Linked DNA regions of Pelodiscus sinensis. The protein of the gene in region 1 interacts with the protein of each later gene in a pairwise test. Links are inferred from orthologs where the notes say so. Each region holds a gene or a part of one and is shown in the gene's direction. Other genes may lie near its edges. The genes, in order: HTT, PPARG and RNF20.

Region 1 (3,748 bases):
TTGAGTTTTATTTCTTCTTTTCACTTACTAAATGTAAGTTGTAAGTAAAAGTTTAGTATTAGTATTATTACAAATTTAACAAGTGTTCATAAAATAGTTTGCAATATCAATTGCCTTCTAAGAGAAGCTGTGGATAATTGTGTATTCAGTTAATTACTAAGTGCAATTTGTTGTATAAAAACATAATGGAGCCTTTTCATTAAAATAGTAGAACTTTGTGGCCTGTTTTTGCAGAGGGATCATTCCACAAATTAGTGCCCATTCCTGCCTTAGCCCTTGGATGCATGCATGTTGTTCAATTTTAAACCTACAGGGATGATGTCATTCAACTCAACCTTAGGATATGGGTGTATTACAGCAGCAAGTGTATGCCGCTAGAGTACTGTACCTTGTATGCTTCCTGGATCTATGGAAGTGGGTTTTTCTGAAGTTCTGAATTACATAATCCACTTCTGCAACAGGTAGCAGAGTCCTTCCACTGCTTTAACTCAACCTTACCCTTGCTCTAGACATATCTAAGTCTAACTTTCAGAGAACAAACTTATTTACGCCCTGAGCTCCATTTCATTCGCAAATAGGAGTGTTCACATCAGAATTTTATGGGCACTAGCTTCTTGTCTGTCATTAAGTCCCCTGTCATGTTCCTGACTATTAAAGGACAGACAACACCATGGGGCCTGAACCTAGTAGCAACGGAAATACAAGATCTGGGTGTAGATGGTCCCTTAGGTTGCTCTAAGTAGGGCATACCCCCAGCGGCCCTCGTGCAGTCTGCTGTGCGCTGAGGATCATGGGTTGTGGGAGCCCAAGGGAACGAAGCCAGCACCATGCGACCGGCGGACTCTGGCAGACCGGCCCAAGTTTGACATGAACCAAAGGGGCACTAGGACCCGACAGCGACTTTCGCGAGAGGAGGCGGGGCAGAACGGAGTGGTTGGGGGCGAGGGGAGTGCGGATGAATGTATGCCCTCTCAACCAAGTTTGTGTTTATCTGAAGGGTGACCCAGCCTCCCTCGCTAGTGGTGATTTGGCCAGTATTCCTGAGCTTCCTTTCTGATTGGTGGTTGAGGCTGTCACTCTTTAGTTTTCCAACCCCCTCCCTGAGGATAGGCCGGGTTCAGGGGCATGCGCGGGGACCTTTGCTCTCGGCCGGGCAGGGAGGGTTAGCGTGGGGGATGATGGGAGGTTTCCAAAATGGCGGTGAGGCGGTTTCGAAGTGATCGCAGACCCCTGCAGCGTCTCCTCCATTCATTGCAGTGACGAGCGGCGGCGCGTGCGGACCCCGGCGGCTGCAGACACGGCGGCGCGGCGGCCGGGGCGCGGCAAGCGGAGAGTTTCTGAGGCCCTAGGAGGGGGCAGTCCGTGCGCTGAGAGGGGGCAGGCTCCACGCTCCCGGGCGCTGCGAGGCGGCTCGGGGAGTCCGGTCCGGGCGCTGCGATTGCCTGGCCCCTGAGGGAACATGGCCACTATGGAGAAGCTGATGAAGGCCTTCGAGTCCCTCCGCTCCTTTCAGCAGCAGCAGGGTCCGGCTGCCATTCCCGAGGAGCCGCTCCAGAGAGTGTGAGTGTGCGGCCGCGGGGCGGCCAGGCTAGGTCGGGGGCAAACCTAGGAGGGGACCATAGAGCTTTCTTAGAAGCTGCCGCCCCAGCAGCGGGGGTGGAGTGGGCGGGGGAAGGGACGCCCGTGGGGGGGCCTGCCACTGGTGGGGCGGATGGGCCCTTGATGTTGTCTCTTGAGCTGACGGATGCGTGGCGGCGGGTTCCAAAGCAGTTGGGTTCCGTTACAGGAACCCAGCAAAAGGCTCTCACCAGAAAGAAAAGGTTTATTAACCTGCTCCGCAGTGAGGGTCGCTCCCCCGAGTAGAGCAGCAGCTTCTTTAGGCCGCTGCTATCTGCTACGTAGATATATACACACACATACATACACCTCGTGACAGCCAGGGAGCCTCTCGCATGCTCTAGCGAACTCCTGGAATAATAATAAATAGTAATTCACGTGTGTGCCCGCAAAGCAAGGCTGGTATTCTGTACTCAGCTGGCCTTTTCTCATTGGAAGAAGATAATTTAATAAAGTATCCTGGTAATTGGGTATCCAGAGTCTAGCATGTACTGAACTTTTATTTTTGAGGGGGAAAAAGAAGCTTTATGTGAAAGATCCTTGGTCGGTAGTTAGGTTTGTTTTTCTTAAAGCAGCAGTTCTGTTAAAACAGACAAATTATTATAGTAATTATGATGTATACTATAAAATGTGAACTATGAGACTGATATGGAGGAATGAATAACTTTAAAACAGCTAAAACAAAATACAGGACTATATAGCACTTGAAAGACTAACAAGATGATTTATTAGGTGATGAGCTTTCGTGGGCCAGACCCACTTCTTCAGATCAAATAGTGGAAGAAAGTAGTCACAACCATATATACCAAAGGATACAATTAAAAAAATGAACACATATGAAAAGGACAAATCAAATTTCAGAACAGAAGGGGAATGGGGAGGGGAAGGTAAATGTCTGTGAGCTAATGATATTAGAGGTGATAATTGGGGAAACTATCTTTGTAATGGGTAAGGTAACTAGATCCTTTGTTCAGACTCAGGTGTAAAGTGTCAAATTTTAGCATGAATGACAGTTCAGAGGATTCTCTTTCAAGTGCAGTCTAAAAGGCTTTTGAAGCAGGATGCAGGTAATTAAGTCGTTGAGACAATGTCCTTTCTGGTTGAAATGGTAAGAAACTGTTTTTCTTTGTGATCCTAATATCTGTTTTGTTGGCATTGATCCTTTGGCGAAGTGTCTGAGATGTTTGTCCAATGTACGTAGCAGATGGACGCTTTCGGCACATGATAGCATAAATTATATTTCTGGATGCACAGGAATATGTGTTCTTGATCTTATAACTCACTTGATTGGGTCCAATAATGGTATTGCAGAGTGAATATGTGGACAAAGCTGGCAATGGGGTTTGTTGCAAGGGAAGGTACCAGGGTTGGTATTAGTGAAGTATGTCCAGTTTAGTATCCTGTTCCAGTATGGGCTGTAGTTTATTGATAATGTGTTGGACAGGTTTAAGTTGGGGGCTGTAAGTAATGACAAGTGGTGTTCTATTGTTGGTTTTCTTGGGTCTGTCTTGAAGTAGATGGTTTCTAGTCTGGCTCTTTCAATGTGCTTTTTTATTTCTCCGGGTGGGTAGTTGAGGTTTATAAATGCTTGGTAGAGATCCTGAATTTTCTGGTCTCTGTCAGTGGGATTAGAGCAGATGCAGTTGTATCGAAGGGCTTGACTATAGATGATGGATCGTATGGTGTGTTCTGGATGGGTACCCTGGGTTGGAATTGCATCCCCAGAACTGTCAGCTGGCTGTGGCTTTGGGTGCTGGTCCATCCCCCAGCAGGACTCAGGCTCTCTTCTCTCCCCTTTCAGGCTTCAGTCATCTCCATGTCATTATCCCCACACACTTATTTTTTAATAAAAGTCCTGAATAGGTCCTGGGAAATAAACAAAAATTAATTAAAGCCCATAACCTGTCTGTGAATTTTACTAAAAATAAGTGTCAAATTCTTAACCTTAATGATGACTGTTCTGGACTCTTAACTATAATGCTTGGGTAGAGGATGAGTACAAGGAGCTGTTCAGTGCTACAGTGCTGTAGTAGCACAATCCTTGTGATTTTCTTTTTAAAGTCTTGATGGAGCAGGTGTAGAGGGCCCCAAATTAAAATCTTTATTGTCTAAATGCTGAATGTAGAAAACG
Region 2 (3,748 bases), on another chromosome or scaffold:
CCTGCATTGAGGGTACATCTAGACTGCACGCCTTTTTCGACAGAGGCTTTGTCGACAGATACTGTCGAAAAAGAGCATTTAGACTACAACCTGTACTGTCAACAAAGCAAGCCACTTTTTCGAAAGAGTCTAGATACTCTCTTTCAAAAAAGCAGTTTGCCTGCAATAGTGCCTTTTTTTCCACAGAGTGCTATCGAAAAAAGGCATGATTCCTCGTAGAATGAGTTTTACCGCCGTCGACAAAACTGCCGCGTTCTGTTCACTTAGGGTACGTCTAGACTACCGCGTTTTGTCGACGGAAGTTTTGTCGACAGATACTGTCGACAAAACTTCCGTCGACAAAGAGCGTCCAGACACATTGAGTTCTGTCGACAAAGCAAGCTGCTTTGTCGACAGAACTCCGTAGTCTGGACGCAATGTTACAGGCAATAACACCTTCTGTCGACAGAAGGTGTTATGCCTCGTAAAATGAGGTTTACCAGTGTCGACAAAACTGCTGAGTTCTGTCAATGTTATGTCGACAGAACACAGCGGTAGTGTAGACGCTGGTATAGTTTTGTCGACAAAAGTCCACTTCTGTCGACAAAACTCGGTAGTCTAGACACACCCTTCCTGTCGATAGAACAGAGCGGTAGCGTAGAAGCAGGTATAGCTTTGTCGCCAAAAGCCCACTTTCAGCCACAAAACCCTGTCGTCTAGACACAGCCGCCGTTACACTTAAGAAAAGACCCGCAGAGTTCAGCTTTCAAAGGCCGTAGGGGCCAAAATCTCTCTTCCACTACACATCTGTAATTTCACTGAGATTCTCGAGGCTGCATGGGCAGGACTCGCCGGACTGTGGCGATGGGTGAGAGGAAAGAGAAGCCACGCATCCCACACACTCCCTAATGCCACATACCCCAGCTCTCTTCGTGCCACACGCCTTTCTGCGCCCTGGCCCCCGGCCCTTCTCCACCGTCCCCCTCAGGGTCCCCTTTCCCGCCAAGGCTCCAGCGCCGGGAACCAACGGCCCACGCTGCCGCTCGCGCAGGAGGCCCCCAGCCAGGGCAGGGCAGCGCGGCCCGAGGCTCGGGGAGGGCCAGCAGCAGGGCGTGGAGGCGGCGCCTGCCGAGCAGGGAGGCGGCGCCCGTCGGGAGGACGGGCCGGGCGGGGGAGTTTATCCCACTAGAAGGGAACAGTTTCTCCTGCCGAGGCTTGACAGCGCCAGGTCAGTGCGCGCGCGGCTGCGGGGTGCTCTCTGCGGGCAGGGAGGGGGGAGTGCAGCAGACGGGGGGGGTCTCTTTGGAGTGGAGGTGGACAGGGGTGTACCCCGGGGGCGGCTGGGGCTGTGGGGGTGGGGAGAGGGACATATCCCTTGGCGCAGGAAGCAGGGCTGTGCTCCGGGGGATATTTGGGGCTGGAGGCAGGGGGCTCTTTGGTGGGGCGGCTTGATGAAGGGGGGGGGCTTCATGGAGTGCGGGCATGGCGGCACGGGATGAGTGAGGGAGGATGGGGCTAGTGCCCACGGGGGGGCTCTCGCTGGCCAGGGCGCTGCTCCCAAAGGGGCTTGGGGAGGAATAAAGAACTTGGTGCATGCAAGCCCCAGGGGGAGCTGCGACCTTGGGGGCATCAGGGGGCAGTGAGATACACACAAGGCTTTACCTTTGGGTGGCCTGTGGAGTTAGGAGCATAGGTTGGTCTTGGGTGCTGTGTGATGAAGAGGTGGATTATACTGGTGGGGGCTGAGTCTCATGCAGGCAATATAAAGGGTGGGGATGGTAAATATCAGTTAATTGAACAGTTGATTAACCTCATGAATTCTTAGCAGATACTCTACTATTCTATAGTTCCCCGGGGATGGGGCCAGCAGCCAGTATGTTCCGGCTCCACTCCCGAGGAGCCCCCTGCAGTCCGCGCTGCTGTCTCTGTACGCGGGGTGCCAGGCGGGAGATCGATTGTGAGGCGTTTCAGTTTAAAAACTAGCTCCCCTAATGGAAGAGCTGCCTGTCACCCCAGAACTGAGCTGGCCTGCCTGCCCGCCTGGATCCTAATACACTTTAAATGCTGAGCTGCAGCGGGGGTTGATCCCGGAGGCCAGCCTGCTAAAAAATTTACTGGTGGGAGTGTGTGTAGTCTATAGCATTAACCAATAAGATTTTGCTTATTGGTTGATGAGTGAATTGACTATACTGTTACGTCTCTAATAAAGTGTATTGGGGATAGGCAGAGGGACAGGGTAAATGAGTGCTGTATGAGGATGTGGGAATGCACACAGAGACATACGTCCATTATTGCTATATGTGTGATATTGAGGTATATAAACAATAAACTGTGAGCCTCTGGTACATTGTGATATTTGCAGGTGGCTATTTCCCTTGTTACAGTATGTGGAGAGGGGAAATAGCTGGGGAGTGTTACTCACTTTACTTACCTGATAATGAATGAAAAGCATCATTTTCTCTTTGACTTCTCAATCAAGAAGAGTCAGGAAGTCCTGTGTTTAGTCATGCCACAGCAGAGATATTATGTTGAAATATATTATGTATGGGTGGCATCCCCCAGGCTTGCAGTATTTTGTAATCCTCCTGGTGTCATTTCTCTCCACGGTATTCTATAGCTGGGAACTGCAAGTTCTTGTAGTGTTATAACTTCAAGGCAGTATATGCACATGATACAGTGCTGTGATAGTATTTTATTATAACATTATATCATGAAATTAGACAGATATCTATGTGTAGCCATTTGGAGGTAAGCATAGGAAGTTATAAAGAAATGATCAATTGTTACTTACCTTTGGACTTATTATTTAATAGTCTTGATACATTTAAGTTAAATTAAAAAGATCAATTATAATTGCCCAGATATTTAAACAGAGAATGTGGATTGATACATTTTGTTTGTGGCCTACTCTCTACATCTCCAAAAGAGTTGTTTGTCTGGAATGTTACATTAATGTTTGTCGGAAATATGAACCAATGTTCAAAAATATATTTCCCCCTACAGTCTACCTACGCATAATAATATGCATAGAGTAACTTTTTAAAGATGATAATAATGCATTACTTGTTAGAAGAAGAGGACCCAGTGTGGCCCCTGGGGTACACTGGAACTTGTATAACTTGTAGTTCCAGTCTACCTTTTCAAACTAGTCATGTCTATTGTTCCCTTATTGATATTAGAATATCTTGTGCATAGTTATAGTGAACATTTTTATGCCCTCTAACCTACTGGAGATTAGTGTGAAAAATTAGCAGAAATGTAAGTATGAGACAATGAAGAATCACTTTTAAAAAATTCTGTGCAAAGTAAATTAGAATGTTGTCAGTTGGGGGAGGTATTTGATAAAATGGTCAGACCTAGATGTTCAGATTAGCAGGTAAACATCAAAATAACTGTGGATAGGTATTCTAATAGGAGCTACTTTCAGATTTAAATCTTCTTAGACATCAGTTTATTAAAATATTGCATTATTGGTTTACATTTTTATATATTCCTGTGAGTAGCTCTAGAAGAAAGCATCCATTCCTTGATAAATAATACTTGATCTGAAAGGTATGTTATGCTGTGTCAGATGTTAGTGTAGCATGAAAAGTTTGTCATTAGATATACTTTCTATGAAAAAATATTCTCTTCCTCCCTGTTAAGTATTTAATATAGTCAGACGCCACAACAAAAAGCCTATAAGATGGTAACATTGATCAATATTTCGGCTTCAGTTTTTAACTTTTGCGTTATGATACCGATATTGACATAGCTTCTGAATCTAAGT
Region 3 (3,748 bases), on another chromosome or scaffold:
GTATGCAGTGCCTGCCAACACCTATTCACCACCAATGGTCCCTGGCTTCGGTGCTGACTGAGAGAAGCCTGGCACCTGCTGGCTTATATTGCACAATGCAATTTTTAAAAAATAAACGGCAAAACAAATGTGCTGCCATCAAATTAACCAAGTAGCCACAACACATCAATTTGATCTGAGGAAGTGGGTCTGGGCCACGGAAGCTCATCACCTAATAAACCATCTTGTTAGTCTTTAAAGTGCTGCATAGTCCTGTCTTTTGTTTCAGCTAGACCAGACTAACAGGGCTACATCTCTTTTACTATTTCACAACACCTCGATTACCCCCACCCCACCTCTTTCAAGACTACACTTGAAAGAGAATCCTCCCAGCTGTCATTCATGCTTAAATTCGACACTTTACATCTAAGTTTGAATAAAGACTCTAATTATCTTGCCCATTACAAAGATAGCGTCCCCAATGATCACTAGCTCCCAGACATTTACCCCCCGCAGCCTCCTTCTGTTCTGAAATGTGATTTGTCCTTTTCATATGTGTTCATTTTTTTAATTGTATCCTATGGTTGTGACTATTTTCTTCCACTATTTGATCTGAAGTATCAGAGGGGTAGCCGTGTTCGTCTGAATCTGCAAAAGCGACGAGGAGTCCTGTGGCACCTTATAGACTAACTGAAGTGTAGGAGCATAAGCTTTCGTGGGCAAAGACCCACTTCGTCAGATGCATGTACATGCATCTGACGAAATGGGTCTTTGCCCACGAAAGCTTATGCTCCTACACTTCAGTTAGTCTATAAGGTGCCACAGGACTCCTCGTCGCTTTATTTGATCTGAGGAAGTGGGTCTGGCCCAGGAAAGCTCATCACCTAATAGCGCTGCATAGTCCTGTCTTTTGTTTCAGTGACACCAGACTAACAGGGCTGCATCTCTACCCCCACCTCGCTGGTGCCTCCCTCCTTTCCCCCCGGCTGGCTGGTTTGCACCCCCGCAGCTGCAGGGGCTAGTTAATATTCCAAGGTATTTAGGAAGTGGGGAGCCTAAATGCATTGGAGGAGCGAGGCCATGGGGTCGCCTACTCCCCCAGCTGCTGCTCTAGGTCCCCTGCTGTACCCCACTCGTGCCCTCAGCTCAGCCACGTCCCCTGACAAGAGGCAGGGCTGCAGCCGCCATGTCAATGAAGGGCGCCTGACTTCGAACCCCTAGGAACCAATGAGAGGCGGTAGCCATGGCAACTAAGGGCAGAGCGGCGGCAGAGCCTGTCAGGCGGTGGGCGGTGGCCGCCCTGTTGAGGAAGGGCAGAGTGGCTTCAAAGCCTCTGGCAGGCAAAGGGCGAGGGCAGCCATGTTTGTTGAGGGCACGCTGCCGGGCGACAAGCTACGTGAGACGCCGGCGGGGATTGGCTGAGCTGCTGTCACCGGCCGCTTCCTGCAGGGTCAGGGTTGGGAGGCCGGAGGTGAGGCCCGGTGGCTGGGCCGGGGGTGAGTCTCGGGGCTGGGGTGTTGCGGGGAGGAGAGGGGGCTTGGCCCGTGGGGGAGGGGCAGGGGGCTTGGCCCGTGGGGGAGGGGGCTTGGCCCGTGGGGGAGGGGCAGGGGCAGGGGGCTTGGCCCGTGGGGGAGGGGCAGGGGGCTTGGCCCGTAGGGGAGGGGGAGGGGCAGGGGGCTTGGCCCGTGGGGGAGGGGCAGGGGCAGGGGGCTTGGCTCGTGGGGGAGGGGCAGGGGCAGGGGGCTTGGCCCGTGGGGGAGGGGCAGGGGCAGGGGCAGGGGGCTTGGCTCGTGGGGGAGGGGCAGGGGCAGGGGGCTTGGCTCGTGGGGGGAGGGGCAGGGGCAGGGGGCTTGGCTCGTAGGGGCAGGGGCAGGGGCAGGGGGCTTGGCTCATAGGGGAGGGGCAGGGGCAGGGGGCTTGGCTCGTGGGGGAGGGGCAGGGGCAGGGGGCTTGGCTCGTGGGGGGAGGGGCAGGGGCAGGGGGCTTGGCTCGTAGGGGCAGGGGCAGGGGCAGGGGGCTTGGCTCATAGGGGAGGGGCAGGGGAAGGGGGCTTGGCCCATGGGGGAGGGGCAGAAGGGGAGGGGGCTTGGCCCCTGAGTGTGAGGGGGGTCGGGGGGGGGGAGTGGGGAAGTGTTCGCGGAGGGGGGGGCAGTTGGCCCCTGGCCTGGGGTAAGGGGAGCGGAGGCTCAGGCTGGGGCATGTAGGATGGGGGAGTGTCAGGGGCAGGAGGGGCTTGGCCCCTGGGCTGGGGGAAGGTGGGCTGTGGGGTATGGGGGAAGTAAGAGGAGGGGGACTCGCCCCTGGGATAGAGTAGAAGGATATCAGTTAGTTGGAGGTATGTAGGGGTCAGCCCCTGTTCTGTGTCTGGTGGGGAGGGGCAATATCAACGCTGAACTTGGGCTGGTTGGGTGAGGTGACTTGATCAGTGGGGGCTTTTTGGGGTGTGTGTGTGAGGGGGAGTGATGGGATAATCGCCCCTAAGGGTGGGGCGGTGCACACAGATATTTTCTGAGAGTGGTATTTTTTTTCTGTCAGCCTGTTGGTTTCTGTTAACAGTGCTCTCTGTGGAAAAAAACATCCCACAAATAACAAAAGCATGCTCCATTGAAAAAGAGGGACATTTTTAAACACAAGGAACTGAAAATCTTCCTTCAGTCACATTTTAGAGTGAGAAGGAGATGGCAGTGGGAGGATTCAGCTCATAGATGTTGGACATTTTAAGGTTCTTTATAAGACATTTAAAAGATGGTATGGACCTGCTATAAAAGTCTTGGAGAGATTTCAAAACATGAGACACTTGAGAGGGTCACTGTCAAGTTAAAATAATACATTGCAAACTAAGGGTACATCTAGACTACATGCCTCTGTCGCCAGAGGCATGTAGATTAGGCTACCAGACATAGTAAAATGAAGCGGCGATTTAAATAATCGCTGCTTCATTTAAACTTACATGGCTGCTGCGCTGAGCTGACAAACAGCTGATCAGCTGTTTGTCGGCTCAGCGCGATAGTCTGGACGCGCGGGTGTTGACATCAAAGGTATTTGTCGACCACCCAGGTATGCCTCCTGGGATGAGGTTTACCTGGGTGGTCGACAAATACCTTTGACGTCGACACCCGCGCGTCCAGACTATCGCGTTGAGCCGACAAACAGCTGATAAGCTGTTTGTCAGCTCAGCGCGGCAGCCATGTAAATTTAAATGAAGCGGCGATTATTTAAATCGCCGCTTCATTTTCCTATGTCTGGTAGCCTAATCTACATGCCTCTGGCGACAGAGGCATGTAGTCTAGATGTACCCTAAGTCTCTGATTGAGCAAAGCACTTAATTCACACACTGATTTGCTTTACTCACATATGCTTTCAAAGTAAGTGTCTGCATGTTTGCAAGCGAATTCCTTAGCTGTATTAGAAATACCGCTGTAAAATGGAAAGAAGTTTAAAAATCTGTTGATACTATATGTTTTGTTTACTTTTGCTTTTTGTTCAGCTTGTAGGTAGAGGCACATCTTCAGCTCCTGTGAATGGGCTCAGCATCAGAGAGGTTAGTGGAACTGTGGCCATTTACATCATCTGATGATATGGCCCTAAAAATTGGCTAGTCTGTTTCATGAAGGTTCACCTGTATTGGCACAGTCTTGCAATGTTTGGGTTAAAAATATTTCCAGGACATGTTTGTTTGTTTGTTTAACTTCAGTGGAGGAAAAAATCCTGTAATAGAAGTGGTGGTCTTGAGTTTTGAAGATTACTATTTTTAAAATGATTTGGGGGT

What was found.
Region 2: the proteins of HTT (region 1) and PPARG interact in binary tests that used the Homo sapiens proteins (3 or more experiments, as listed by UniProt). The link is inferred for Pelodiscus sinensis from reciprocal best matches to the Homo sapiens genes HTT and PPARG.
Region 3: the proteins of HTT (region 1) and RNF20 interact in binary tests that used the Homo sapiens proteins (3 or more experiments, as listed by UniProt). The link is inferred for Pelodiscus sinensis from reciprocal best matches to the Homo sapiens genes HTT and RNF20.

The regions. Positions count from the first base shown.
Region 1 is NC_134715.1:116,691,155-116,694,902, reverse strand, and holds the start of HTT (huntingtin), read left to right. Parts: upstream 1-1,420; 5' UTR 1,421-1,459; coding exon 1,460-1,560; intron 1,561-3,748.
Region 2 is NC_134721.1:47,574,702-47,578,449, forward strand, and holds the start of PPARG (peroxisome proliferator-activated receptor gamma), read left to right. Parts: upstream 1-1,087; 5' UTR 1,088-1,207; intron 1,208-3,748. UniProt on the Homo sapiens protein: Nuclear receptor that binds peroxisome proliferators such as hypolipidemic drugs and fatty acids.
Region 3 is NC_134716.1:7,957,339-7,961,086, reverse strand, and holds the start of RNF20 (E3 ubiquitin-protein ligase BRE1A), read left to right. Parts: upstream 1-1,372; 5' UTR 1,373-1,475; intron 1,476-2,292; exon of another isoform or gene 2,293-2,314; intron 2,315-3,466; 5' UTR 3,467-3,520; intron 3,521-3,748. UniProt on the Homo sapiens protein: Component of the RNF20/40 E3 ubiquitin-protein ligase complex that mediates monoubiquitination of 'Lys-120' of histone H2B (H2BK120ub1).